Oreochromis niloticus: one gene and its partners. The protein of the gene in region 4 purifies or fractionates together with the protein of the main gene of each other region. This does not show direct contact. Links are inferred from orthologs where the notes say so. Each region holds a gene or a part of one and is shown on either strand. Other genes may lie near its edges.

Region 1 (7,977 bases), on a different chromosome or scaffold from region 4:
CTCATTGTCATGTTCAACAAACCACGGTGAGATAATTCGACATGGTGTGTTGTCCTGCTGGAAGCAACCATTATACGATTGATACACTGTGCTCATACATGGATGGAGATGAACAGCAACAATAATCAAGAAGGCTGTTGAGTTTAAACAGTCTTAGTTGATACTAAGAGGCCCACTGTGTGCTAAAAAAATATCTCATACACCATTACACCACAAGCAGCCTGAAACTGTGTATACAAGACAGGATGGATCCATGCTTTCATGTTGTTTACACATAATTCTGACACTTATCATCTGAATGACACATGAGAAATCAAGGATAATCAAAGCAGGCAATGTGTTTCCAATATTATGGTGCACTATTTTTGTGGAACTCAGTTTCAATTCCAATATATTCCATTCCATTCATTCTCTTCCGCTTATCATTATCAGAATCGTGGGGGGAGCTGGAGCCTATCCCAGCAGTCATTCAGTGAGAGGCAGGGTCGCCAGTCTGCCGCAGGGGTAACACATAGAGACAGACAACCACGTTCAAACTCACATTTACACCTATGGGCAATTTAGAATCAACATTTAACCTAACCTCACCAGAGTACCCGGAGAGAACCCACGCAAACACATGGGGAGAACACGCAAACTCCACGCCGCCCCAATTTCATTTCAATTCAGTTTTATTTATATAACACCTAATCACAACAACAATCACCTTAAGGTGCTTGATATTGTATAGGAAATCATACAAAAATACAGAGAAACCACAACAATCAGATGACCTGTTCTTAGCTGATAGGAGTGGCAGGCAAATTGATCTTATGTAGCCCATCTGTTTCATCAAAGTTCAATGTCTCAATGGTTCAGAGATTCTCTTCTGTATACCTTTGTTATAATCAATGGTTATTTGAGTTACTGTTGCCTTCCTATAAGGTCAAAGCAGTCCTACCATCTGCTTTGAAAATCACAGCATCAACGATCATACCAGTCCATCTGACACCTAACATTTTCAAAGTCACTTAAATCATCTTTCTTCACTTAAGTCATGTTCTGACAGTTTTCTTGACCATGTAAGCATGTAGTTTTTGCCATGGGATTGATCAAAAATTTGCATTAACAAGAAATTAAACGGGTGACTAACAAACTGGCCATTGAGTGTATATATTTTAGTCCTACAAATTTAAGAAAAATTGGCTTACAGTTGCCCCAAATTAATAAAAACAGATAAAAGATACTTCTAGTATGGCCTAACACTGTTGTGCTTTTTAGGCTAGTTCTAGCTGTCACATCTTTTAAAGATGTGGTAACTCCTTAAGTTTTATTTACATCCAAAAAGGTCAGAAGACTCTTGTTTATAATCAGTTTTATTACTGCGGGTCCCTTCTTAAATCTTACTTAAACATGACTCACTGTTCCTGTTTTGTTCACCAGCAGTAAAAATAGCTTCAGTGTGTAACGTTTGCTTTTCTTGCATTCAGATTTTGGGACCATCCCATTTTTCCAGCCTGGGGAGATAGGATGAAAGCCTAGAAAAAGTTTAGGCCTATGAACAATACCGCCGCCTGTTTTGTATGGTGTCACACTCAAATTTAAAAACACTCTGGTAGGAACAACATGACAAGGAGTATTGTTTACAAGCAAAATAAGAGCCAAGACAACAAGGGCCAATAATGACTTAATATAGAGCAGTTTACAAAGTTAGAAGGGTTTTTGGCATTGCGCCATGGGCTGGACACTCTTAAATGACGTTAGGGCAGCACAAATTGTGTTTTATTACAGCAAGAAACCCCACTAAACATACCTTCAATCGTTTGACCATCTCATCGTTACTGATTTTGTCCGTAATCTCTTTAACTCCAGGAGGATAGATGATTCCTTCCCCCGCCGGTTTCTGCTGTTGCGGGAACTCCATGCTTGTTGATATATGGTCCACACGGTCTTTTACTGGCCTCTATGGGTCAGAAAACAAAAGTTCAACACAACCATGCTACCGCACTTACCAAAACCTCGTTTTAAGCATCTTCCTTATTTGCCAATCATTAATTTTGTTTGCTGAAACTGATAAAACCGTACCTGTATATTTAACTATATTCTAATCCGGTTAACTTTTCAGACGGAAAGCAAGCAGTAAACAAGCATCGTGCATAATATTAGCTTGCATGCTAAACGTGCAAGCTAATAAACATCAGCTCTACATTTTCCGTAGATTTCTCCTAAATCATCGCCTGGATGCAGAAACGATTTCAGCTGCTGTTTCGGTAATATCACAGCTATTACTACAGCTAAACAGTTGTAAAATCACTTTAAATAACAACACGAGAGGCGCTGGTCTATATCTACTGTCATACTGGTTATTACATTAGCACGCTAGCTGCAATGCAAACATTACTAGCTAGCGGTTAGCATTTTGCGGGAAGGAAGTCATGTTAGCAGTTAGCATTGAGCGGCTAGTACACGTTAGCTAACTGGTTAGCCTAGGCCGCAAACTATTCAGGTACCCATCACATCTCCAGCTACAATCACAGAGGAAGTTAAGTATCCTCTCCTCTTTGCCTAAAATAGCCATGCTCGTGGCCAGTTCCTGTGCTTTACAACTAATGCAACTACTTTGTGAAGTTTAAAAATGAAGCTAATTTACTTGTTACTGTCTTTTCTCAACTTCCGAGCATCGCTCCGTGTTGCCGCTAGTTCACAGGCGAAAGAAGGGCTGCTGCTACCGTCGCCCTGAGCCCTCCTCTCTCAACACCAACTTGCCCCACGGATGATTTTGAACACCCTAACAAATGCAAAATGACTCTATTTTCAAATATACGACTGCGACTCAAACCCCGGGTTGTTTGCCAAGCGCTTCCTCGGTAGTATTTACCTCTTAAACAGGCCGTTTTAATTCATTAGTCTGACACAGGTTGGGCTTAGTTTTCGGCACAAAGCTCTCTGTCCGTTCAGTCAGTGCTGTTTGTGTGAAGGCTGGGTGCAGAACGCCCCCTTCAGTATCAGACGGGTACTGATGCACCACATACATGGCGGGAGTCTGTAACCGATAGCTGGCACACTTTCTGTTCCTCAACCCACTGTGGGTTTATCCTTAAAGTGAGCTCATATTAAAGAACATTTTGAACTCATTAAATGCAATCTTTATACTATTTTATCTAAACTGGCATATAATAACATACACACATTATTCATAGTCAAAACACTGGAAATATAATTGTATTTAAATGTTATTTGCAACAGGGTTAACTCTTACGTATGCTGAGACATATGCTCAAACTACCATCAATTTCCTTTTTTTAAGCCTGAAATTTGTTGACTTTTCCTAAAGTGACCCAAAATATTTTAGACAGTTGTGCAGGTACTATACTTTTTTATACAGGGAGGTTGTGCTGGGTAAAATGTGACCCATGTTTATTCAGATGGATTTTAGATCCACCAGTGTGGGTTAAATCGATTAAAAATTATGTTTTTTGGACATCTTGAAACTGTACATGCCACATCTGTGTGTATGTTTGTTTTTCCTTTGTTTTGTTTTTTGTTGGGGGGGGGGGGGGATTTCTCAGTGAGTGTGGGAAATGTGCAAATCAATTGATACACACAAGCATTTTCTTACAGCTGCTTTTAATGCACAGAATGCATTTGTGTTCTCAGGGTTAATTAATATTGAATTAATACTGATGAATAAATAATTATGAGGATATTTTTGATTATCTATAAGTGAGGAGAGTGTTTAATGGTTATAATGCGTATATGCTATTATAATAAATCCCAACAGTTACTGAATCCATCCTTGCCATTTTAACTTTCAGTATAACATAATCAGCTCATTATGGCTATTATGTTTTCATGTCTTTGGTAAAACAGGTTCTGTCAACAATTATATCTGCTACCTTTAAAAAGTAAACATAATTAAGTAAAAATGATTTATGCACCCTTCAAGATAAATATCCAAAAGTGCTCCAAAATTAAAAAATCAAAATGCCAAAACATTGAAACAAACAGTGACTCAAAAGCAAGTTGAAAAAGATGAGTTTTTAGCTGGTTTCTGAAAGAGATCAAAAAGCCCACAGATCTCAGGCTCAAAGGGAAGGTTCCAGAGTCTGGGCTTGGGTGGGGGGCGCTGATTAATAATAACTATAAACACATAGTGACTGAAAAGAGGTTACTTTGGGAATGCCCGATCTAACAGTTTAAGGAGGCAATAGTAATTTTCAGTCTTTGCTACTTTTGCTCAGTCTGAGCAGTTTCGTATGGACGCTTGTCTAAAACAGATAAAAACGGGGAAAATTTAGTTTTTATTTGATTTACTTGTTTATTTGATTTTTATTTTGGGGGCATATTCTCAAAGTTTGACTTGATAATTTGAAATCGCAAGGTATTTTCTCAGATGTTTAAGTTAATAAATATAAATTACGTAATTATATCTAATTTACAATTAACTCGAATTTTCGTATGATTACCCGAAACTCTGACGTATGGATATATATTTTTTTTCAATGGCGGAAACAAGCTTCCACAGCAGGGTGTGACATTTTTCTGAAAGGCCATGGAAATCTGTGGGCGTTTCAAGTAGGCGTACTGAGAAACAGCCTATTATTTTGAAGTTACCCTTTTGACTTCCGGTGGTTTGCTTCCGGTGCACTTGTGTTGTCGTTCGTACTGCTATAGATAGCATTACAGAGTTTTTGCACTTTGGAGCTACAACATGTTTTCAGCTTTGACCCGTCCTCCTGTAGGTCATAGGCTACTTGGCTAGCTCTGTTAGCTGCCAATGAGAGCAGCTGGTGACCAACGGAATGCCTCGGAGAAAGAAAAACGGCCAGAGTCCGGGCAGGCTCCCCGACGGCGGTCCAAATGAGCGGGGAAACCTCGGTCAGAGCACGGGTTACCCACTACAGCAGGGACACGGCGGTGGTATGTCCAGCAACTTTCCACCCAATACCGTCAACGATGAGATCGTCAGAAGCATGCAGGAGATGTTCTCACATCTGGACCCCGAAGTTATTTACATCGTGCTCTCCGAGTGTGACTTCAAAGGTAACGTGACAGACGCGCCGTGTTACTTTTGGGAAAGGTATTTGTTGTAACTTGACTAACCAGTTAGCTGTGTACAGTGTAGCCTCTTAGTCATGCATTTCTGACAGTACTGAGGCGTTTTACTACGCTTTGTAGGCAGATCAGGACCGACATATAACAATACAAAGGCACAAAGACTACCATCAGTCATTTTGTAATTTCCATTTTGTTTTTTTTTGGATAAAGGCGCACCTTAAATAGTCCAGGAGCAGAGGTGCTATGGTGGATTGCTCTCCAGTAAAACCTGAAGTCCCACAACAAGATGATGCACGAAAATATCAGACCACATATGCTGTCTGTGTTATTTTGTTAGCATATTTATAGTCTCAGAAACACTTAAAATTCTGTTCGCGTGTAATGACGATTTATGTACTCACATTAACTTGCAGCGCATATTTATTCCTCATACATGCACAGATATAACAGGAGCTATACAATAAAATATAATAAAATAATAAAAAGCGTCTGCTGGGATAGGCATGAATCCACCTTAAAGATGGCAGCTGTGCAGCAAGTAATTTATCCAACATCCGTGACTCTGTGTGTAACGGCTTCACCTGTCTAAGGTCTAAAATCCAAAACAAATCCAGATTTGTTTCTGACGAGTCTCCTTATAAACCTCTGACATCCTGGTCTGCTTATGCTCTTCTGACAACCTGAGGATGTAAAGTCACTGAAGAGCAAACATATGGAGCTTATTCATAGCTACCAAGTAACAAATCATCAGTTTTTCATGCTGTGGCTGATCCATAGATTTTACTCTACAGTGAGTAAATAAATCAGTGGTTTTATTTTGCTCTGTATAAGCTGTTTAATGTGTTAAAATGGCACTCAGATATTGAGTGCCGTTTTAACACATTTAAGATGTGCATGAAAACGTTCTGCTTATCTTATCTGTCTTTTTGTGTCATAGTTGAACATGCAATGGACTCCCTCTTGGAACTTTCTGTGGCTGCTGAAGACACAGTCGCTGCCCCACCCTCTGTTTCTGGCTTTGAGCGCACTGCTGCAGCCTTGCTTGCCCCACAGCACTTTTCTGAACCCTCACAGAAGCCTTCCTCTCCTCCCTCCTCAAACCCGCTGACAGAAGAGCTTGACCTGCTGGTTGATCAAGAGTTAGAGACACTAGCTGTGCAACAGGATGTTGGTAAGGAGCACCACAGCAGCAAATATTTATCTTCTGGTGCATCGCTTTCTTCTTCTTTCCCTCCACCACCACTTCCTCAGCAAGCTCTCCCTGAGTTGCTTCAGTCCAGCCTGGACCATGGATCTCGAGAGCCCTCTGCTGAGCGGCTTGGCCCTGAAGGACGTTTCATAGAGCATAAATCTGGAGCTTCTTCTCCGCTCGACCAGCTCAGCACATGGGAACAAAAGAGCACAGAAGGGCAGCAACCTGTAGTGGATTTCACACACCTGACAACAGAAACATCTGCAAACACCCCAAAACCTGCCTTGGACCTGGCAGCTTCAGGGCGTCCCTCTGCTTTCCAGGTGTATAAAAAGCAAGAGCTGACACACACTCTTTCAGAGAACGCTGGGGTCATGCACTCCGACAGAGGAGCGAGATCCAAGATGAACACAGTGAATCCGGAGCAGCTCGACCACTTATCAAAACACTGGAACCTGGAGGCACCAGTGTTTTCTCCTCGTATGCATGGAAACCAGATGCCGGCCTTTATTACTCCCGTGGCTCAAACACCTTCATATTTGTCTGTCCCCTATCTGATTCATGGCCCTCTCTCTCAAGCACCTCTCAAACCTTCTGCTACTATTCCAAAGTCTTGGGCCCAGCCTGCGCCCCCACAGCTTCCTGCCCGCAACAGCAGGCTTCGTTTGGAAGGGAAGGTGCTTGTGCTCCTGCGGGGTGCTCCGGGGTCTGGCAAATCCACCTTGGCAAGGTAGGAATGTTTTGATGGCCTAAAAAGTAATAGGAGGTTTTTCTGCAAACCTATTTTTTAAATCAGCCAATAAGGTGCTCAGTTTAGATTTCTTGGCTAGGTAAGATTTGAGCTTTTAGCAACAAATTTTGGCCTTTCTATTTTTACAACATATATATGCAAAACTTAGATTCTCCTGCCTTGTGTATCTTCCTTTTTCTTTTTATATTTTACTACAAAGTGCTACAAATAATACTTCAACAGTGAAATTTAAATATCTTAAAAAAATACCAGAAAAGATAAAATATTTGTTGTTAAATTACTGACATATTATTTAAATATAGCACTGTACAAAAGTCTTGAGCCACCACTCATTTGTCCATTTTGCTTTGAAAATGGAAATGGGTGCAGGAATTTATTCAAACATGCAAACTGAAATGCAGTTTTTGAGCCAAAAACAGAGTTTGTTCTGTTCTCGGGAACTTGAAATGTAGTATTTTTTATGACCACTTTTATTCTCCAAGACACCCTGGTCTCTTAGGCAAGCTTTCTTGTAATTTTGTTACTTCAGAATTAGTTCTCCAGGCTTCTTGAAGGCTAGGTTCAGGCCGCTGGTAACACAGGGCCTAATGATACAATTTAAAATAGCTTCTTTGCTAAAGCATCTGTTATTTATAAACACAACACCCATTTTAATGGTCGAATGATTCATAGGTCAGAGTTTTTAGTAGCAAAAAACATTCCTCTAAAAGTGGTTCGGTATAAGGATGAGTGAAAAAGCAACTGATTTGAAAGACCTTCAATATGTGTGGAGAACTGTTGCTCAAGCACTGTAGGAAATATTGGAAATCTTCTTTCACAACTTTAGCCTGTTTCCATTAGTTGAATAGTATGTTGCAACCTTGTGTTGGATGTTTTAAAGACAGGGAAGAGACTCTGTTCCAGAGTGACAACCAACACGATAAAATGTTCACATGATCTAAATATAAAAAAAGATTACGGGTCATTGGAGAGATGATTCACCAGTAGTTTACAACAA
Region 2 (7,067 bases), on a different chromosome or scaffold from region 4:
AAATAAATCAACAAATCCTGACAAGTTTTCAAGAAGCATTGGTTACTCAGAACATAGCTCCTTGTTAGTGCAAATGATCCTCTATCAACTCCTTTAAGAGACTCTGGAGGAAAAATGTCCACCACTCTCATTAAACAGAGACACATTGCCCACTCAGTCATTCAGTTCACCTCATCATAACCACTGGAGACCACCTCTTTGCTGTCAGCGTGCTTGGTTAGCACCTTGTTAGTCTGTGCTGGCTAATCCTGAGTGCCATCATCAGGCAATAACTCAGTACACATTTCAAACCTCAGAATACTAGTGACAGATTAAATAAACAGATTTCTGTGTAATATTCATTTTACAGCTGGAATAAGATGAAAATACCATTTATAATGTTGCAAGTCTGTGATGGTCGTCTTTGTTATTTTCTATTTCTTTTGTTTTATAAATTAAGATATTGTTGGAATTTGTGTGTAATTTGGGAAAAATAAAGGATAAAACAATTTACTTTGACTCAGAAGTCAGATCCAGCTTTAGCATTTATTTACATGAAAATTTCCAAGAAAAGACACATAAGAAAACAGTTCAGGACGAGAGTATTGGCAACTGCTATAGAACCTTTGTGTCAATAAATGTGGATTCAAACACTCTATAAAAGAGGAAATATCCTGGTTTTAGATATAGAAAATTATACCAAAATCTTTTGTTTTCAGCCTCTATTACAAACATTAAGAGAAACAAAATGTACTCTACAGGGTAGAAAACTGCCCCTTTAAAGGCTACAACTCCCCCTGTATTATGCTTCCAGGGTGACACAAGATTCTTTTTGTCTTCATTTTATTGTTATTTATTCAACCCTTATGCCAGGGGAGATAATGAAATATTCATAATAAGATTATAATAAGAACACAACTGTCTTAAAAGCCTTTAACATCCCACCAGAGTAAAAGCGATGGTCACACACCAGATAAAAATCAGTGAAAGGCATCTTATTTGAAAAATACCAGCGCCAGTCAACAACCCTGATATTTGCTGATATATTGTTGCATCCTGACTGATTTTACTACAGGTGAATGTATCTAAAAATTTTAATTTTGGTCTTGTTTGTGTAACTATGGGGCCATTATAACATCAAAAACTATCCTGTCTGCAAGCATCCACAAAATGACTAGCAATCACATTAAGAGCATTTACAGGAACAAATAAACACAGGAAACTCCAAAATGATCAAACTTTACAATAAGAACAAATAAAAACAGATAAAACTTGAATGTTTAGAGTAAGAAAAGCACATTTTCAGCAGAGTCCTCCCAGAGTCAGTGTTTGTGTGCATGTCTGTGACAAACACAAGCATGCTGCCCAAGTCTTTCTCTTTTCCCTTGAATATTTACTCCACGACCAGTTCAAACTCCTCAGCCTGGTCAAACTCTGCATTCATCTGTGCAGCCAGAGCGTCAAGTTCCGTGGTGTCTATCTGCTGGACCTTCTTCTTCCTCCTCCTCCTCTCCTTCACCACAGCCACTCCGGGGATGTCTGGGTCCGGCTCGGGGAAAGCTGAACCACCGCAGTCATCAGCCTCAAGCAAAGACGTGAATGAGTTCAGTCCTGTAAATGATCCTGCGGAAACCTCCAGGCCAAACTTGGACACCCCGGCTCTCCGGACCTCTGGGGTTTTCAGCTTCTCAAAGCCGAATAAGGTCTCACGAGACTCGGGGCTGTTGAAAGACTTCTCGCTGAGCCTGCTGTAAGATCGGCGTACCTTCTGCGACCACACCGCGTCTTCTGGATCCATCTGCGAGGGATGAGAAGCAGGCGGCGGTGATGAGGGTAGGATCGGTGAAGGCATAGCGGCCTTCTTTTTCTTCTTAGCCGAGGAAGAGCTGCTCTCTCGGCCGGGGACGGGACCGGGCGTGGAGACCTGCTTTTTCTGCTGGATGCCCTCAGAGCTGGACGGCCTCGGCGTGTTCTCCTTGTTCTGTTCCGATAACGCGACTGTTTTTCTGGGCGCTATTTTTCTCACAGTGATTGAGCGTTTAACAGCGAGAGACGGCAGCGCCATTTTGTTGTCACTTTGAGCTTGCGGAGAGCTCAGCCGCGGGGAACGTCTCCGCTGCGAGCTGTCAAGGCTATTAGAGTCCGTCATTATGCTCCGAGGAGTCCCTTCGTTCATCCCAACAGTCTCCTAAAGAAACTCCAGATCTTTTTTCTTCTCTTACAGCGGATCAGACTGTAACTCAACCAACACAGGGCACACAACAACAGCGAACGTTCAAATTGCCCGCCCGCGTCGCGTGGAAAACACGAGCTTCCTTTGCTGTGACGTAAACACTGTGCGCCGGCTATCACAAACTTTTGCTGTGTAATCCATACAGGCGAGGCAAAGAGACTGCTCATAATTTAATCTGTTTTATATAAATACTCCAACTTCTGTCAGTTCAACAGAATGGAATATTTAATCGGGATACAGGGACAGGATTTTGTCCTCGTCGCCGCTGATAATGTTGCAGCAAGCAGCATCATTCAGATGAAACACGGTATGACAACGCGTTAGCTTGTAGCCTTAGCCGCATAGCCGGTTATTTTAGACATACTTGCTAACATAGCTACATTTTAGAGTCTCTAAATGCATTAAACCGGCTTTCTGCTTCTAATAAGTAGTACTTGAACCATTTTTTAATTCTTTTTGCTAAATATTTACATGTAACTATACACTGTGAATGTGACTAGAGCTAACAAAGCTAACAGTAGAGTAGCAAATAATATGTTCTATCGCAGTTTGATTTTTTTTTCTCAGCATTATCATAACCTTTTCCTAGCTAATAGATCAACTCTACATTTCATTCGTAACTAAAGTTGGTAACCTTTGCATGAGCTGCCATAAGAAGGTTACTGACAACGAAAGTGAAAGTCACTGCATCACTGTGGAAATGGAAGTTTACTTACACTCACCATGGATAATTTTAACCTATTAATGATTTGTTTGATCTGTTCTTTTTGCAGGGTGAAATGATTGTATAGCATATATCTTTAATGAATAAAAAAAATGAGAGTTGGGAGAACAAGTTTCAATTTATTTCGTATTTTCACCAACCCACACAGGGTCAAATATATTCACACATCCTCAGGATTATTTGGTTCCCTTAGCAAGTTGTACCTTGATCATATACTTTTGGAAGCCATCAACAGACTTGCATAATTCTGACTGGGTTTTGACCACACTTCTTGATGCTTCAACCTGCAAGCTGTTAAATAGGGGTGAGGTTGAAGAATTTGGAGGTAGCCCTTCATCATTATTCTATGCATTTTGTTTAAAGTACCAGCACCACTGCCAGCAAACTGCCCCAGAGCATGATGCTACCACCAGGCTTAACAGGTCACCTCCTCCAAACAACATCTTGTCATTGTGGCCATATTTCAGTTATTGTTTTGTCTGGCCGTAATACTTTGATCGTTGACTGGTCCATGTTGTCTTGTCCATGTGGTCAGCAATTTTGGAGCAGGGGCTTCTTTCCTGGTGGGCACCCTCTCAGTCCATGGCGATGCAAACACCCTTCGCTGTGCACTGTGCCACCAGCAGTTTTTAGTTCAAGGTAGGCTTGAGCCTTGGTGGTTCCTGGGTTGTTCCTGAACAGCCTAATCAGTTTCCTCTTATCTGAGAGTGACAGTTTGCCAACACCTGGGGGAAGACCCAAAGTGGTGACACATCCATACATCTTGTACTTGCATACATTTGTTTGAACGGATGATCTTGGAATCTGTAGTTGTTCAGAGATGGCTCCGAGAGATCTTCCTAACTTGTGTAAAACTACAGTTTCTTGGGCTTTTTTATTGTTCTGAGTATTTGTCAATCCAAAAAGTGGTGTCAGTCAAATCCTTTTTATGCTGGAAAAAGAACAGTTCAGAGAAATCATCAATAGCCCAAAGTTACCATGGTCATGATTAGTGTGTGTGTGTGTGTGTGTGTGTGTGTGTATAAAGGTTTGACTACAAACTGTAAGACAATTTAGGAACAGACTAATGAATTTGTGTTCTTCTTTATATTTTTTCAGACTATGACAAGATGTTCAAGCTCAGTGAGAAGATTTTGCTGCTGTGTGTGGGAGAAGCTGGAGACACAGTGCAGTTTGCAGAGTACATCCAGAAGAATGTGCAGCTCTACAAAATGAGGAACGGTAAGGATCTCAGACATGATCGTTGTGATGCTGCTGGTCCTTATAGGTTTTAAGTTTAACTCTAAAATGTTTTCGGGAAACCAGTTTGCTTGCTAAAAACATTTATATCCAAAGTTTTGTGCCTTCTTTTTCTTAGGTTATGAGCTCAGTCCAGCAGCAGCAGCAAACTTCACGCGAAAGAACCTGGCAGACTATCTTCGGAGCAGGGTAAATGTCCTGATATATTTATTAAAAAAACAGAATAATGTAGTAAGACTACACGGATATAAAGTCAAAGTGGTCAATTTTATTTTAATTTTTGTGTCTCATTAATTTTTGCACCGGCTAATCGAAGACAGTGTGGTAAAGAGTTGGAAAACTGTAAATTATTTAAGTTATTTTTTTAATTTTTTGTTATAAAGAAGGTTTCTTTATTTCTCTTGCAATGAAGAAGTTTGGTGGTACCACATAACAGAAACCAGATAAGTAAGAACAAACTTTTGACAGATTTATATTTTACACATCAACATTGGTCGTGACTGGAGACAATCTGTACATCCCTAAGTACTACAGTCCATTTTACTGTGTGCTTCTTTTTTTTTTAATTGAAGAAGAATGGCTTCAAGCATTGTCTTTTAATATAAGAATTAGCTTGAAATTATAGGTGTATTCGTTATTTCGACAAGTAAAAAACTTTGTCTGAGTTGTTAGTTAATTTGTTGGCACAGTGAAGATTACCTAATATGATCATTCAATGCTGAAAACAATAGGGTTGCACTTGAATCCAAATTATATCAGTAGAATCAGATTTGATCATAATATTCTCACGTCTTTGTTTGTTTTTGTTTAGTCGGTTTTAGTTAGTTGTATTTCTTTTGCAGTGACCAATCATTCTTCTTTAGTTTGTGGTTCCTTGTCCAGCCACTTAATAGTTGTTGTAATAAGTAATACTTTAGGAAGATATTTTTTCTTAAGTGTACAGATCAGTTAATATATTACCTAAATGTCAAAGGAAGCTAAACATTTTTAAGCACTGAGTTGACTAAGTCAACACCTTGATGTTTATCTGTGGAGGAAAGTGTTGAGTTTCCAGCAGCATATGTCACACCATCAGGACCCCACTCTCTGTTATGGGCCCATTAATGTGCCGATTTAGACTTGTGAAAAAAGAGATCCTTAGAAAAATAAAATTCACAAACGAGTTCATACGTTTGGATAGAAAAAAGATTTAAAAAAAAAACACTTAACAAAGTGAAGAAAAAATATTTTACTTTACCTTATGTCTATCAGAAATCCACACATTTTTTATTATTATTATATGTTTGATATTGTAAAAATTATTTGTTGAATGCGGCCTCACCTGATTGCTATTTTTTTTTTTTTTTTTTTAAAAACTGTCACAGCCACGAGCTTGACGTAAAGCAGTGGTCGTAACCTGTGTTTTGTGAGAGCTGTTTTCTCTTGCCCTGGGGAAAATGTGGTCTTTTGAGACTAGAGAGCAGAGACTACAATCATAACCAGTATAATTGTTTGACTTCAGGTGCCTCATACACACTATGCAGACATAAAGAAGTGATATCTTTTGTGGATGAAAAATTTTCTCCACCCTGCTTATTCAGAGTTTGATCATTCTAACTGATCCTTTGCAGGTGAGTCTCCACAAATCACAAAGTTTTGCCTTAATGAGTAAAATCATAATTGGTGTGAAGATTTAAGGTTTCAAAAATGAGCGCAGATAAAACAAAATAAAGAAATCAGCAAAACAATGCAACATATATCATATTTGGTGTTCGGCTAAACATTTTTTCGTCACTAGTTTCAGATATGATTGAGCCCAAATGACTATCATGTCTAACAGAAAACAACCTGAGCTCGCTTAGTTTCCCCACAGATATGTCATCTTGCAAAGATGCATTTGTTCTGCCTTGGACTCTCTGTCTTCCTCCATATTTTACTTTTTGCTTCAAGTATACTTCTACCCTTTTGCCTATTTTCAAATCATCTCAACACTAGTATCCTTGTAAATTTTCTCTGTTAACAACAGTTGCTAATTAATCCCAAGTTCCAGTGGTCACTGTCTGAATTAAGCATATTCATCCTGGAGTAATGAATGAACATACCTATAAATATTTTAATTTCTATTTTAAATTAATTACAGTCTTCTGCCAGTATTTGCAATCTCATTTGGCTTAAGGGAACAAATGATAAAATCACCAACTAATTCAAGTAAGACTAACCATATAAGGTAGGTTTACTCATCCAATTTAAAAATGTATTTTAGTTTCTACTTGAAATTCATTTTCTTTGCTCAAAATGAAAATGAAAACATAGTAACAGAAGCCCTAAGTGTGTTGATGACACGGCAGCGTTGTGGTGGTGCTGAAGAGGTGGTATTACAGAGGAGCTCAGGTGGGAATGAACTCCCACTTGAGTTGGCACATGTGTTTGTATCATTGTCAGCTTGAGACACTCATGTTAAACCAGCAGATGCATTTTGACAGAGCCAGGTACATTTGTCAGCTTGTTGTGAAAGGTGACTGAGGGTTCTCCCTCTGAGATTTCCTGTAACACCTGAGCCTGCAGGCCTGTCTCTCACCCTCACTACGCAGATCTGCTGAATGTCTTATCAAAAAACTCTGGTTTTGACCTTTAGTGTTGTATTACATCTTTTACACAACAAGCCAGCCAAGACTGAGATTTCCAAATGCGCAAATTACTGCTACTTTATCTGTATTTCTTCATGCAGAAGTTATATTGTAATATATAGAGGTGGTGGTGGGGGGTTCAGTACCTTAACACTTTAATGTTAATTAACCATTTTATTTGTCTTTGTGTTAAAAATGTTCCTGGTGACTAATTTACTAGTAGCTAAAATATTTTTAAAAAGACTAGCCGAGTAGTTTAGTGGCTCTTTCTCATAGAAAGTGATCT
Region 3 (7,889 bases), on a different chromosome or scaffold from region 4:
CTCTATCGCTCCTAGTCAGATAAATGACAAAACACATTAAAGTGCTTCATTTAACTGGTTTTAATACAACTATTTATATGTGTATATATAAATTTTCTTCAGGATTCAAACAACAATAATTCAGCACACATTATTTAACATCGTAATTGTTCCACAAAGCACTTCTGTCAAAGGTAAAATTATCTGATGTAGAACTACCAAATTTATAGCATTTGATGCTGGTTTATTATATTAAGCACCTGTAAAGCTCTTGGGGTTAAGTCAATTATAGCAATATTTACACCATTGACATTATACTAACACACCAAGGCCCAAATATAAGAAAAATAATCATCAGCCTATAAACCAAATTATCATCTAATAGGCTGACAACCTTTGTCTTTGCCAATAAATAAATAAATGAATAAATAAATAACTGTATGGAGCCACAAAACATATTATAAAACCTATCAACTTTGCAGTTTCGTTAAAAATGTCATGTTTTGTTGCATTTGTCAAATCATAAAAGTAATTTATTACCAAATGGAACAATTTTGAATTGGGGGAGAAAAAAAAGAGAGGCATCTGTTAGTATGTTTAGGCCTACTTAGAAACATAGATGTTATAAAGCTATCCAGGCCCACTTTGCTCAAATGCAAGTAGGACTCAAAGGATTCAAATTAAACGCAGCCTACTTAACAACAAATAAATTAAATAAGTTATTTATATATTTATATATTAAGTTATTTAAAAATCACTACAGGCCAGGTTGTATAAAGTCTTGCTGCAAAGAGCTTCATGCAGTTTCAAAGCTGCAGATTCACGCACACTATATAACCCTAAAAAAAACAAAAAACATACATTATAATAAATACCTTTAAAACACATCAGTCTTAACTGATGGACTCTTTTGGAGTACATAGTTTTCAGTGTTGGTTTGTAATGCAAGGGTTTTTCCTGGCACTGAATGGGCTTTTTCGTGGTGATTACATCCAACGCTAAACACACCACAGTAGATTACACATAAAATCCTAGCAGTGTGTATGATAAAGTTAGCTCTTGTTCATCTTTGTCAAATAAAGGGTGCTCATCTTACGAGAGAAGGAAAATAGCACAATAAAACTAAACAGAGCACAAACATCTGTGTTCTGTCTGATAGGATGGACTCCTCATACTGGTCAAATGCTGATTTCATGCATACTTCATAAAATTCTCACCTATCATTACAGCTCTGCCTTTTGGGTCAACGGCAAGAAACTGTCCAGGAACAATACGCCGGCAACCGCTCTTCCCAAATGTTTCCTGGTGGATCTTCTCAAACATATTTTTTGATGGATGATACTCCAGGATGACGATACGACCACTGTCACTCCCCACAACAATGTAATCTAAAAATACATAAATATCACTTAGAAACTAAACCTGCATGTCAACATTAGATTAATTATGATACTATCATGTAATTAAAGCTTAGGTAATGAAAGCCAATGGAGGCCAACTTCCCCTCCTAATTGTAAATGAATAAAAAAAGAAAGCAACTACGAACAATACATCAGTGTCAGACAAAAAATTTAATAAAAACCACTTAAGAGAAAATTATTAATACATGCCATTTAATCTGTGCAATGCATGTTTAGAGTTACAAACACATGCATGTGAGTGCATATGATGTAATTTCTGTACCTTTGGTTCCTCCAGTGAGTCTGAAGGCCATCAGGGATCTGATGATGCCAAACACTTCTACTGTGAGAAGAGTGTGCACCTTTCCTGTGTTGGCATCTGGTCGTAATAATTCCAGGATCTTTCCTCTGGAAACAACAATCTCCTGCATCTTGGTTCCTACCAAAACAGACAAATCAGACATATCACGTAGATATTTTTGTTGGTTTTCCCTAAATCCTGCTTTTAAAAAAGCATTATGTGACATGTCTTTTATGTATTTTTTAACCATGAGAAAACTACGCTTTACATTATCTCCATCAACATAATGAGTGAAACACCATGATAGGATAAAATCTAATGACTATACAAACACAAGAAAAGATACTTAAATAAAACAATTAAATGTGCTTGCTAATTCTCATAGAGATTGCAGTTAAAGGCTTCTTTGACAATAAAGGAGGGTTACCAAGCTTTGATAAATTAACCATGACCTAACCAGACATAAAGCAGTGACATCTGGCGTAAATTCACCTGAGAAGTTTCCATGGATGGCATGGGTGATGCCAGTGGCACGCTGCAGGGTGATGTTGTAGAGAAACATGGCTTCCACTCAAATCTTATTCAGAGGAAGCTGAAAGAGCGCTTAACCCGGCTCAGAACTGTAAACAAAGAAAACCAAAAGTGTATTTACAGTAAGGAATCAAGAAGTTTGAGACCACTGGACAAAGTCACAATAAGCTACGCGGTCGCACTGGTGACAAATGAGGGATCTTCAAACTGAGGTCAGCTGTAGTGGACTGTGGAGCAATACATAGCGACTGCACTCATCACAATATTGCTATGAAAAGTTGGTGGAGCGGTGTAGTGTTTGCTGGACACAAAACCTACGGCGCCGCTAACGTTAGCTCAACATTAGCTGTGAGAAAATTAACGTTCCCCGGACATTTATGTACTACCCTCTGTGCTTTTAAACCGTGCAATAGGGGTCACGCATTCCTTTAACACGAATTTAAACTACTTAAAAAGATCGTTTACATCAATCCAAGAGTCTGAGAACATGGCCCATTCATACAAAGCGCCACTTCTGATTAACGCTTCCCCCCCTTTTTTTTTCTTGCTATATTACTTTAGCTAGTGCAAACTTCACACACATTAAACGTCCGTTTAATTGCGGAAAAGATGCAGATCTGCAAGATATAATATTTACCGGTGTGCTTAGTAAGATGACTCTGATTTCAGATGGATAAAGTTTCATTTACGAAAACTATTTCCTTGAAACCCTGAGAAGCCGACGCTGAACCGCCGTTGGTGGGTCCTTCGCCAGCCAAAACGCCGTCGCAAGAGCTGGCCCACACAGTGCCTGACGGAAATGCGAGACTGTAGTACTGTATTGTGCACAGCAGATGACGACAAAGACCTCAAGATTAACGGAATTATCGCGAATGGGCGCCATAAGAAAAACAATATCTGTAAAATAGTTTCCCACTACATTTATTGCCCCTTTCTTCTGCACGCTTTATCATGATAGCACTCTACGTCTTCTACTATTTAGTCAAAAACAATAAATAACCTGTATGCTTGTTGCACACCAGAAAAGAAAGGCAAAAAGTAGAAAATAAACAATGATGTTTGTATCCTTGATATTAAGTTACATTTAACTTAATTACAAAGCTGTTAAGAAAAATTTTGCAAGATTTTTAAAATGGGGTGGCCCATGTGAGGGACGTCAGAGAAATGCGGGGTCCAGCAGCACCAAGGTAGGCAGAGATAATGGGAAAAGCAAACAAGGCAAAAGGAGTTTGTTAGGTTAGTTATATAATGATCACTGATATACACAGACGTACCTTCATAAGAAGGCATTAGTTGACGTTACAAATCGTCCTAACACACCGTGTGCTCTCTGTCACTTTAACACGGTGCTGTAATAAACTAACAAGTGTTATTATTGAGATGTTACTGCGGGAAAAGCATTTTTGTACCTCAATGTTGAAGCTGCAGTTAATAACGAAGGTTTGCATGTTTTCGCTGTAAAACGCAATAATGTATATTAAACTGGGTGACACTTGCCACCTATAAAAGGCCTTTTATGTGCTATTTCTCTCGCTTACGGCCATACCACCCTGAACACGCCCGATCTCGTCTGATCTCGGAAGCTAAGCAGGGTCGGGCCTGGTCAGTACTTGGATGGGAGACCGCCTGGGAATACCAGGTGCTGTAAGCTTTTTTGACTTCTACACACAAACTGCAGAGGGCGCTGATGCTCACTCAGTGGCGACAGCATTGGGCTTTGCTTTGAAAAAATATAAATGACAGTTTAAACACTGAAACTACGGAAGCGTAGAGCTGCCACCCAGGCAAAAGAAAAATAGAAGTGTATCACGTTATAACGTGAAAAGTTTATTGTTCTAACAAGATACTTTTCATATTTGTACAATATACTATCATGTTTGTACAATATACTTTTCACGTTTGAACAACATAATATCACGTTATTACAATATATATAATTATCACGTTCGTACAATATAATTATCACGTTCGTACAATATAATTATCACGTTCGTACAATATAATTATCACGTTCGTACAATATAAATATTATATTGTACGAACGTGATAATTATATATATTGCAATAACGTGATATTATGTTGTTCAAACGTGAAAAGTATATTGTACAAACATGAAAAGTATCTTGTTAGAACAATAAACTTTTCACGTTATAACGTGATATACTTCTATTTTTCTTTTGCCTGGGTGGCAGCTCTGCGCTTCCATACTGAAACTAAGTTGAGCTGCTTTAGCTCATTCTCTAGTACAGGTTTTCCTTGCGACTCCTACACAAGGTGCACTTTCACAGACTTCCACATGTTTTTATGCACAAGAACTCGATAATTAACAACTAAAAAATAAGTTTATATTTGTACAGTCAGTGGGGGACTAGGCCATTGTTCTTCTCACAGTTTCAGTCTGGTAGAGAAGTGTTTATTTCTCAATCCCACTGTGAGCCTGTCTGCTATGGAACGCCAGGACTGCCATAATGAATTAATTAAATACACCTTTAAATAATTAATTAAATGTGTCAATAATTATTTAATTAAATATGTCGTAAATATTTATTTAATTAATTATTTCCAATTTTAATTAATTATTGCCACATTTAATTAATTATTTAATGGTGTATTTAATTATTCATTATGGCAGTCCTGGCGTTCCATAGTCTGCTGCACAGACGCACCTGTGTCTGTCAGACCAGCTTTCAACTCTGCACTCAACAGTTACCTCGTTTCATATACTGATGTAATTACAGCGATTTTAGTAAAGCTTATTTACTTTTGTTACATAAAGGAAAGAGAAATTTGGCCCATGAGAAGTCCATAACATATAACTTGGATATGGATGAATCTGTAAGAATTTTTGGAAAGAGAAGCAGGAGACTGTTGTTATAGAGTGGATTGAGGATTTTTATTCTTTATTTCTATTTTTCAGTTTTATTTTTCAAGACTTTGTGAATTGTCTATTTTTATGTCTTGGCTTACCCTTTTTGGTTTTGTTGATATTGGCAGTAGTGTGACGTACTATTGTTGGGTTCGAATATATTTATTATATAGGCCATCCGGTTAAGGTAAATGTCATGTTTTGAGTTGTTAGAATCGGATTAGCAATATTTTATTTTATTTTTTGTTGTTTTGTTTTTCTGTTTTCCCCCTGAGAGATTACCACCTTAACGTGGTCAGGGGGTTTGCGTGCCTCAGTGACCCTAAAAGCTAGATCAGCGGAAGCTTAGCCTTCAGGTGGGACACCCAAGTTGGTCAGGTCTTAGGGTAGAGGCCTGACAAAGTGCAATCCAATTACATGACAAAAACAGTTATGGAGCACCCCACCCAACCCCCAGCCCTTAAGTGTTAAGTCACCAGTTTATCATTTCTGCAAATAGATATTGCTTCTCAGTTTTTCCAGATGTTTTTCAATTTTTTGATTTTTGCTGCTTTATGAGCCATGAAGAAACTAACATTTTAATCTTTTTTTTTCAGTTTTATTGGCAGGCATTTCTGGCATTTCCTTAGCAGATGTCTTAGAATGAAGCCATAACATTATAGGACATAGGAAAGTGCAAACATTTCGTTTTGGTGTGAACTCTTCCTCTAAAATCTGATTCGGATGTCGTATAATCTAATTAATGATATCGTCATTTCTTCTTCCAGAAAACATGCAGGGCTTGCAATGATTAAAATACTGAAACCATCATAAAATTTTGACTTTGTAGTAACAAAAACATTTAATAAAGACACCTGCTTATCGGTTCCACTTGCATTTCAGCTACAACCAGCTGATTTCAGGTCATGCACCAGGGGAGGAAAATGGTAGCGCAGTATACAGCCTGGATATTGAAATTACTTTTTTTATTGCACAAAAGGACAAGAGAGAGTAGTAAAGTGGAAAACTGCTGCTTCCTTTCTACCTCTTCATGTTTCTGAAGTAAAATCACTGTGCCAATCACTTTAAAGTGTCTTTGTGCTGGGGATCACCCTTGCTTTGTGTACCTAAAGATAAACATTACACGTGTGACCTCATTAGGATACTGATTTTTGTTGTTGTGTGGGAGTGTAGCCTAGAGGTTTATATTGTTAAATGGTACTTTCGAGACAATGGGTTGGGAAGTAACAAATTACAAATACTTTGTTACTGTACTCAAGAAGAATTTTCAGGTATCTGTGCTTTACTTGAGTAAGCAAATATCTCCACTGTCTACTTCTGAGATTTTAGAAACAGACTGATTAGTTTAGGTCCAATGGTATCATTTATATTGCTTACACTCGCAGATTAAAGTGGGCTGGAATGAATGCAGGTGTCCCTTTTTAGTTGAATAGCCTTGGTGTATGGGATGGAAACATCTGTGAAACATCTGTGTACATCTTGTTGGATTCAGTTGTGTAAATCCACAGAAAGCAGTAAACCTCAGGTCAACAATAGCAACAGATCAGCTGATCACAGCCTGTATACAGGTTTCAGATTATTGTAAGTAGCCTCTTAACAGCTTAGTATTGACATATGTTTCTCTGTTTCTCTAAATTACATTGGAAAAAGGACTTGGATAATCGATAAATGGAAAAAGAATAAACCAGACAATGAAACAATGATTTTTTATGAGTGTTTATTTTTAAACCATACAGTTGTGGCCTATAACAGCATAACTAAAGGATGGGACAGGGTCAGCTGATCTAGCTGTAGCTATAAGATTGATCAAAAAGGAAAGTTATGAGTTTAATGTTAAAAGACGAGAGCGTTTCTGTTTACACAGGACAGTGACAGGAAAGCTGAAGGCTCAGCCTCCCATTAGACACATTAGACCTCACCAGAGTGAACAACTTTCTCTGCAGCAACACAACTCATAACTTTTATTCACACCCTGTCCTGATACTTCTATTTCATCTGCTATAAACAATAACCATACACTATTATTGCAATCTAGACTACAGCTCAAAAGTTTGTAGAGAATTAGAAATGTCTTATTTTCTGACAACAGTAAAAATCTTTTTGATGTTTTACTAAATTATTCAGAAGTGTAAAGATATATAAATAATTAATGGTAACATTTATCATAAATCACAAATGAGATTTAGTGGAATATCTACATAAGTGTACTGTTATGAAAACAACAGAATGATGATGAGACACTGTGTTAAAGTTTTACAGGTTTATTTGCAGATAGTTATGAATACAGGATAAACACTGTGGGCTCCAGGAGACGGGGCAGAGGTAGTGAAGGTTGTCTGAAGGCACACTCAGACACTGTCACAGAAGGTTGTGGAGATCCGTAGCGCTGAAACGTCTGCACAGAAACAGAGAGTGAGTAAAGGCAAGAACTGATGGAAAATGTGACATGACTGTGGCATGATATGTTACCTTGGTAATGCAATGATCTGGTTGTTTAGAAGCCAGCATGAAGACCTCGTGAGGGACAGGCGAGTAATCAGCTGATTGTTGACAAGTGACTGAAGGACAGGAAGGTGGAGGAGCATCCCCTAAAAAAGACAAGCACACGGACAACAACACAGGCACACACCAAAAGAGGAGAGAGAGAAAGCAGCAGGCCAGCAAAAGGGGGCAAGGGAACCATGACATCTACAGAGGCCCATTTTCATTTGGTACATTGTGGTACCAGATATCAGTTTGTGATGTTAGATCCCAACTTGTCAGTCAAGAAACCTTTTTCCAAAGATATCAGCACAAACCAAAATCATTGTG
Region 4 (7,885 bases):
GTGTACAGTCTCTTATTCAGGTACTCTTGCCTGGGGCAGAAACAGAAATTTAAACACAGTAAGTAGCTTGTTCCCCAAAATGTTTATAAAATCTGAAATCTATATTTCCATACTTTATCACCTAAGCCTAAAACACATTTGCTGACTAGTGTCTAATCAGAGAGTGCATGAATATGTGCGCAGTGCTTACTGTGCCAGCTGTTCTCGGGCCAGCTGCATGTTGTAGCGGTCCATCTGAATTCTCCGCTCTCTACTCAGCTCGGCTGCTGTCAGATCCTCCTTCTCGGCTTCTCTGGACAGCTTCAGCAGCTTCAGGTCCCAAGCTGCATCCCGAATCTTTTCAGCATCTTGCTGTTTCTGAAGGCAGAGAGGAAATAAATCTAAAAACGCACTATACTTGTTCTCCTAAAGGCAATTCTGCTTCATTATTTAATGATTTAGGTTCCCAGACTTCCTCAGATTTTGATTTCATGCTGATTTTGGGTGACTTTAACATGCCTGTAGATAACACTGAAAAATGCAAAGCTTCAGAGCCAAATAATCTGCTGGAGGTCTTATGGCTTGGTAACTGGATCCACTCAAATGTTTTTTTTCTGTGTTAGCACTTTATGTTTATGCTTATTCTCGCCACTATTGCATCTTGAAATCAATGTTGATCCTGTTAATCCAGGTCCAGGCACTAACAGGAAGTTTAGGGCCTTATTTTAGTACACTAGAAAGACTAAGAAGATACCATCATCCTGAATAAGGAGAAAACTGATATATGATGGTATATTTTTTTAATATCTCCAGCACACTAAAATAAGACCTTTTATTACTTGCTCAAACCTACTTTCAGTGCCTGGATGCTGGTTTGAGCACCGCTGGCTTGATGGACACTAGTAGTGCTCCTGTTACTTCAATGGCTTCCAATTAGTTTTAGAATTGATTTTTAGATGTTAGTGCTTTTTTACGGTGACGCAATGTTTGCGACCTCAATATCTATCTGACAAGCTAGTAAGCTACCTGCAGACCTCATGGATTATTTACCGAGTCTTAACCAATACTGGTGATGTGGCTTTTATCTTTTCTGATTCGCTGCTGAAACAACCTTCTGAATCACACCAGGAGTACTCCAACATTTGCAGTGTTTAAAACAAAACAAAAAGGAGGGACAAACCTAAGTTGAACACCTTTTCCACTGTGGGAGAAGAGCTACAAAAACCTGGGTATTCACATCAATAATAGACTAGACTGGAAATGCAACACTGAGGCTTTCTGGGTCATTTAATGAATTCAGTAAAACACTACTGTCTGTTACTGCTAGTGCAATCTTCTTTGTAGGTTTGTTTTGGGGTAGCAGCATCAGAGCCAGTGACACTGGAAAGCTGAACAAGCTGATTAAAGGCTGAGTCTGTGCTGGGGACTAGCCTGAAGCCCCTAGAGGTAGTTATTAAGAGCAGGATGTTGCACAAACTGCTAAACATACTGGACGACACACAACATCCCCTTCATGACCTACCCGTCAAGAGTGTTTTCAGCAGGTGGCTCCCTTAACTCTGCTTTAATAATGACTGATATTAGTATTTTAATATATTTTTTAAAGTATTTTTAGTTTAGTTATTTCTTTTTGTTTTATGAACTTTGTGCTTTTAATTCTACTTATTTCACTGGTTTTAAATGATCATTTATACTCATCTGTCATTAGTTTTAATTATCTTGATATATTTCTTTTATTTTATGGACTGAAGGTATAGATCTCATATAAATGTATATTTTTACTATTAATATTGCACTGTTGCTTTTTTGGTTGTTTTTACTTGTGATTACAGACTTTGTAGTTTTCACATTTCCATCTAATTTTTTTTTTTCAAGTCTAGGATCATTCTCTTTGTGAATGAGTAATCTCCTCAAAGCTGAAAAGTTTACAACCCTTTTTGAAAACAACCCATGTAGAAAAGTTGGCACAGATGTCAAAAACTCTTTCCCTTCATCCCAAAATGGTCGCGGCAGATGGCTGCCTGCCCCTGAGCCTGGTTCTGTCTAAGGTTCAACAAGAGTTTTTCTGTCCCACAGTGCCAAAGCACAAGTACTTGCCCCGCCCAATTCCCCCGCTGGCCACCTCTGAAGTCGCATTAACAAAACACACAAGTACTCAAGGGATTGTGTGCACATGGTATTCTACATACCATATGTGGGATACTGTGTGCAGCTTTGACTATATTACTGTGGAGTACAGAGTGTAATACCTGTCTCTCAAGGCATTGTTGTTCTCTCTCCTGCTGAATGCTTTTCAGCTGTTCAGGGCTCATTCCTTTCCACCTGTCTGGTAGAACCTGTGGTGGCCTCCCTCCTCCCACCTGTCTCTCTGTTGCCTCTGCACACTCTGTCATCATGTCAGATGTCATTGTATGCCACATCTCTGCCAGATTTTCCTGTTCCTCTCTCTTGTGTTGCTCCTTCAGTTTCTCTGCTTGCTCTTTAGCCTGTGTGTACAGAGCATGGTGAGGCTTTAACACAGATCCAGGGACAGTTAATTGATTATCCCACTGATGACTGATGATTCAGAAGCATTGCAAAACCCAGTCTCTAAAATGTGGTTACTCCTAGCATAGAGCTACCAGTCAGCCATATGGCGAACGTCGTCCTGAGAGAGCCACTCAGTCAGCTGTATTTGCTTGTGCATCATGAGTGGTTATTAGTGAAACCACTAAACACTATGAAAAAGTACAGTGACCTGAAGAATTTACAATGATGCCTCCCAATGGGGGATTCAGCCGAGTGCATTCAGGCAAATGAGGGAAGAGCTAAATGGGGGCTTTTAAAAACAGACAGTAACCACGCATACATCAAAGCTGTTTAACCATCCATGTTGCCTGGTGCCAAATAATATGATTGCCGCCATCCTGCACCAAGTGTGTGCATGCATCATTTGACATTTTCAGCTTGCAATTCCCACATGACAACATCATGTCACAGCTTGCCCCCCCCCCTTAGATTTTTGCCTTGAGGATTCACATTAGTGAGTGGTGTGTGCATATCTGTTTGTCCATCTGTGAGTGTGCACATATACTGTACCAGAGCCTGATTGTAGTTGTCGAGCGCGATGCGGGTAGCTCTCTTACACACCTCCTCGAGGGCAGCTTGCTGAGCCCCTCTCACATCTTGTTGCACCAGCTCTTTGCTCACAAGCATCTCTGTGACACACATGATTTGGGGATCATCTGATGTGTGTTTTTCACACCTGCATTAGCGGTTGTATGTGGCTCTTCAACTGCACACTTCACACTTACAGTAAGGCTCTTAGGGATGAGCATCCATCACTGTCACCTGGTAATAAGGGCTGTGCATGGGAGTGTATGATTGTTTGTGCAGGAAAGCATGAAGCATGTGTGTGATGTACAGAGGTTGTAGAGTAAAGGATGTAAGCTCATTAGGAATGCTAGTGAATGTGTGTACTTGTGTGTGTGTGTCTCTTTTCACCTATGTGCTTGTCTCGCATGTGCCTTTTTTCATTCTCATCCATCTGTGCTCGCAGATCTCGTTCTGTCTTTCTTATTTGTTCTCTCATCCTCAGCTCCTCTCCGACACCCTCTCCCTGTGCATGAAACAAGGACAGATGACCATAAGCGGTAACAATATTACATATTTAACCATTAGCTGGAGCCCCCCCCCCGGTCTTTAAAGCATACAAATCACCTGCTTTGTCAGAGCTGCCCTACCTTAAAGATTTGCATACTGGCAGGCCCTAGCTCATCCTCTGGAATGGCGATCTTGAATGCCCCCTTCAGGTCAAATTTAAGATCAGCATCACGAGAGTCCTCTGCTCGCTGATGAGTAGCCCAGTAATTGGTGAGTTCAGAATTCAAAACTCTTCGCTTCTCCTTTTCAGCATTGTTCTGCTGCACCAGTACTTCATCTTGGCATATTCTCAACTTATCTGTAATACATTAAAAATACACCTGTGACCAACCAAAGCTCATTAATGGAGAGGGCCTGAAACAATAAGGGGACCAGGGGACTTGCATTTATAGCGTCTTGCAGGAATTATGTCTGCAATTATACTGCTTTAATTCTACCTCATCCCTGTCCTTCAGTTTACCCAAAGCTTTGTCCCTTTGTTTCTCCATGTTTTGCTGGTGTTTCTTCTCCTGGACTTGTTGGTTTAGTGTATCTAGGTCGAGACCCATCACACGAAGCCGGGTGTTGAAAATGCGGGCCTTGCGTGCTGTTTCTGCAGCCTTACGCCTCTCCACAGCCTTTTCCGTGGACTCGTCTACAGGCAAATCCACTTTGTACATGTTCAAAGTTTGTAGTGACTTCCTAAAGAGACAGCATTACGACACTTATTATCAGAGCTGATAATCTTGCCTGAAAATAAATTATTAAAGAAATGACTATGCCGATTGAAATATAAAATCCTGGTGGGGTTCATCTTCAGAGCGATTTGCTCCTGTCATCACCTGATAACATCAAAAACCAATGCTTCTTTAAAGGCATATTTAAAGAATAAGTGGACTAAATTAAATGGCTTTTCCTTAAAAATGGACATACACCACTTACCGCTGACGTTATAAATCTGCTCAGTTTCTTTCAGTCAATATCAGTGAATGAAAATCTGCTCCTGTTGTGTTTGGAGACGCTTGGTAACCATGGAAACATGTGGACACACATCGATATGCTGGAAATACATAACGAGAGTGACAGGACCAGCTAAGGAAATGTCTTTTTATTTTTTTAATAATGTGTATAATTTGTAATAAAGTAGCATTAATAGTAGTAAAAAGTGATATCCAAGGCCGAGATAACAATCAAAACACGACAAACGCCAGACAACTAAATTTGGTCTCGCGAGAAACTGTGAGGTTTCGTGTCTCGCGCGCTTGTGGGTCTTCCTGTTGGATTGTAAAATGGCGCATTGTTGTCGCCGCCGTACCGAATATATTTGATAAAGATTATAATTTTTATTTTAATTTTTAAAACGATTGCGCAGATCATAATGTAACTTGTGCATAGAGCAGCAGTAGATTGACCAGAGGGGTTCATTCATTTCGTGCACACTGCGTCTTTGCAACAGCTTACCGGGTAAACATTGGTTGTTAGCATTAGCTAACTGCTAAGCTAATATTCACTGCAGACCAGCTAAACAAATAGAACGAGATGGGTTATTTAAAACTGATAGAGATCGAAAATTTCAAGTCGTATAAAGGAAGGCAGATTATCGGACCTTTTCACAAGTTTACTGCAATCATCGGACCCAATGGATCTGGTATGTAATGACAGCTAACATAAGCTCGAAGCTAATGCGAAATGCAAACTGCTAGCTGTGCCTAACGGTAAACAGAGCTCCACAGCCCCGCTCTATTTGGATCATAACTCTCAGTCTGTGCACAGCTGAACTGGACAGAGGTTCAACTGTTGGTGATGTGATGTATCGTAGTGTTTCATGTTTACATTTGGCACTATAGAATTTATTTAAACTTTATTTCGGTGTATTTATGGTTGTCAGTTTGTAGAATGTCGTTTTTGCATTTTTATTGAAGTCACTCCATTAGACCGTTTAAGCACTTATGTCGTATAGGCACGTAATATATTTGTAAACATTGGTGTTGGACCCATTACACAAGAGAAAGACTTTCAACGGTCTTTTCTCGTAATACAGTGCAATGCATCATCAAAACTATCTGGCCTGTAAGTTTAGCCATATCAACTCAAACAAAACAACGTGTAAAAACTGCACACTAATAGCCAATGAGATGGATTTTATTGCAGAACTGCTGTTTGGTACCAGACTTTACAAATAAAAAGTGAACCTTACTGTAATATTTACAGGACATGCATAGGATCTAATCGTTGTTTCCCCATCCCACAGTGTGCAACTAGAAAGAATTAAAAAATATATAATTTAATTATGTAACATTAAATAAAACAAATAAATAAAACTATAAGAATCTGAGATACAATGTACAAAATAATATTAGGTAACAAAGTATGATTTACATAAGGGATATTAAAGCCTATATATAGTTGTTGCTGTTTATGTATAAAAGCATGAGGCTTTCAAGGGTTCTTAAAGTATAAATGTCATTGCAGATCTTTGTGTACAAATATTAAGGTATAAATGAATCATTAAAAACCTATACACATAACTGCAAGTCCATGTATATTGCAGTGCAGTGCATCAGTATGAGACTGAATGTGTAGATGGCAGCAACATGGTCTTAACATATGCCTTTTAATATAAAAAGGTCCCAAAGTTTACTAAGATTCATCACAATGTTTGTAGGAAAGTCCAACCTTATGGATGCCATCAGCTTCGTGTTGGCAGAGAAGACAAGTAACCTGCGTGTGAAGACTCTGAAGGATCTAATCCATGGAGCGCCTGTAGGGAAGCCAGCTGCCAACAGAGCCTTTGTCAGTATGGTGTACCAGGAAGATAATGGAGAAGAACGTGCCTTCACAAGAGTCATTATTGGTACGAAGCTCCATTACCAACTGTCCTTGAATATAAAATTAACTTTCTTTTTGAATAGTTGTCTGTGTGAATTAAGAGACACTGATCTAGTAATATTTGAATGCTTTTCAGCTGAATAAAAGGATAGTAGTAAAGCTGCATGGATATCAGTTTTCAAAAATTGACTCATCATCTAAGAAAACATTTTTACACATCTTTGGCATTTGGCGTTTAAAAAATATTTAAAATCTGTTACATTTATAAATTGTAAATAAAATGCACTTTTTTACTGTAGTATATAAAATAATATAGTTTAATAGTATAGTATATTATTTGTGTGTGTTGATGATGAGCTAATGCTTGTTTTGTTTTTGGAATATGCACCAGGTTCTTCCTCTGAGTATCGCATCAACAGTAAAGTAGTGGGCCTGCCTGAATACAGCGAAGAACTGGAAAAACTTGGAATTCTGATAAAGGCTAGGAACTTCTTGGTCTTTCAGGTAAGATTTAATTCTTGTAAATGTTGTCAAGATCTTTTCAAAAGCAATTTATGCACAGGCAGTCTTTCATAGTACTCCTGTACTAATCCACTAGGTTATTTTGATTGGATAGTGCAGTAGTAAAGTTTTTAGTGTGTGTGCGTGTGTGTGTATATCATTGGTTTGAACGTGACTTGGCCAGTTAGACCAGAGATCAAATTAACACCAGGTAACATTTTATTTGCTATTTTAAAATTCAGTTTTGTCTTTATTTCCCTTTAAGGGAGCTGTTGAGTCTATTGCCATGAAGAACCCCAAAGAGCGTACAGCGCTGTTTGAAGAGATCTCCCGTTCAGGAGAGCTGGCCCAGGAGTATGACCGGAGGAAGAAGGAGATGGTGAAAGCAGAGGAGGACACGCAGTTCAACTATCATCGCAAGAAAAACATCGCTGCAGAGCGCAAAGAGGCTAAGCAAGAGAAAGAAGAGGTTTGCCATTTTTACTGAGTCTGCATAGGACCCAGAGTGTCATCATTAGTGTCTATGGTTATTTGCATTTACTGAATTCCTCCATACAGGATTCATTGAGTGGTATAGCCTGTTTCTACTCTAACAGATTTTAGGTAATATATAATTCCAGATAATGCAAATACTTGTCATTCATATGAATGCACCAAACTTCAACAGTAAAAGACAAACTAGGAACTTTTATCAAAGCTCAACATAAGCTTTCAGCAATGTAACAGTTTCAACTGCACATCCTGCATATAAATCTTTCCCACATATATATTTATATAAGAGATAAAATTTGGTGTTAGGTGAACAACACAAAGATGAAGTAAAGATTGTTACACTGTAATCGGCAGCAAATCTGTGCGTTTCTTATTTGAAATGACTCAAAAATAGCCTTAAAACAAACTTTTGAATTTTCGTGATTAGTTTTTTGTGTTATCTGATGGAAAATTGAATCTGTTA

What was found. Proteins that work in one complex are often made in the same cells at the same time.
Region 1: the proteins of structural maintenance of chromosomes protein 1A (region 4) and pds5a purify together in Homo sapiens (co-immunoprecipitation; 8 studies listed by BioGRID and IntAct, with this or other methods). This does not show direct contact. The link is inferred for Oreochromis niloticus from reciprocal best matches to the Homo sapiens genes SMC1A and PDS5A.
Region 2: the proteins of structural maintenance of chromosomes protein 1A (region 4) and cdca5 purify together in Homo sapiens (affinity purification with mass spectrometry; 7 studies listed by BioGRID and IntAct, counting the BioPlex papers as one, with this or other methods). This does not show direct contact. The link is inferred for Oreochromis niloticus from reciprocal best matches to the Homo sapiens genes SMC1A and CDCA5.
Region 3: the proteins of structural maintenance of chromosomes protein 1A (region 4) and sf3b3 fractionate together in Homo sapiens (co-fractionation; 3 studies listed by BioGRID, with this or other methods). This does not show direct contact. The link is inferred for Oreochromis niloticus from reciprocal best matches to the Homo sapiens genes SMC1A and SF3B3.

What each region holds. Positions count from the first base shown.
Region 1 is NC_031971.2:22,049,716-22,057,692, reverse strand, and holds the start of pds5a (sister chromatid cohesion protein PDS5 homolog A), read right to left. Parts: upstream 3,007-7,977; 5' UTR 2,858-3,006; intron 2,804-2,857; exon of another isoform or gene 2,630-2,803; intron 2,316-2,629; exon of another isoform or gene 2,065-2,315; intron 1,943-2,064; 5' UTR 1,904-1,942; coding exon 1,793-1,903; intron 1-1,792. Other genes in the region: n4bp2 (NEDD4-binding protein 2), read left to right, coding at 4,782-5,022, 5,975-6,959. UniProt on the Homo sapiens protein: Probable regulator of sister chromatid cohesion in mitosis which may stabilize cohesin complex association with chromatin. May couple sister chromatid cohesion during mitosis to DNA replication.
Region 2 is NC_031985.2:14,016,637-14,023,703, reverse strand, and holds cdca5 (sororin), read right to left. Parts: upstream 2,188-7,067; 5' UTR 2,156-2,187; coding exon 1,373-2,155; 3' UTR 507-1,372; downstream 1-506. Other genes in the region: psmb2 (proteasome subunit beta type-2), read left to right, coding at 2,429-2,519, 4,035-4,157, 4,294-4,364. UniProt on the Homo sapiens protein: Regulator of sister chromatid cohesion in mitosis stabilizing cohesin complex association with chromatin. May antagonize the action of WAPL which stimulates cohesin dissociation from chromatin.
Region 3 is NC_031972.2:7,732,590-7,740,478, reverse strand, and holds the start of sf3b3 (splicing factor 3B subunit 3), read right to left. Parts: upstream 3,007-7,889; 5' UTR 2,849-3,006; intron 2,301-2,848; 5' UTR 2,243-2,300; coding exon 2,173-2,242; intron 1,819-2,172; coding exon 1,663-1,818; intron 1,368-1,662; coding exon 1,197-1,367; intron 12-1,196; coding exon 1-11. UniProt on the Homo sapiens protein: Component of the 17S U2 SnRNP complex of the spliceosome, a large ribonucleoprotein complex that removes introns from transcribed pre-mRNAs.
Region 4 is NC_031984.2:20,061,118-20,069,002, reverse strand, and holds the start of structural maintenance of chromosomes protein 1A, read left to right. Parts: upstream 1-4,869; 5' UTR 4,870-5,139; coding exon 5,140-5,248; intron 5,249-6,265; coding exon 6,266-6,454; intron 6,455-6,820; coding exon 6,821-6,933; intron 6,934-7,195; coding exon 7,196-7,399; intron 7,400-7,885. Other genes in the region: ribc1 (RIB43A-like with coiled-coils protein 1), read right to left, coding at 1-30, 191-357, 2,229-2,465, 3,058-3,176, 3,463-3,577, 3,702-3,919, 4,082-4,280. UniProt on the Homo sapiens protein: Involved in chromosome cohesion during cell cycle and in DNA repair. Central component of cohesin complex. The cohesin complex is required for the cohesion of sister chromatids after DNA replication.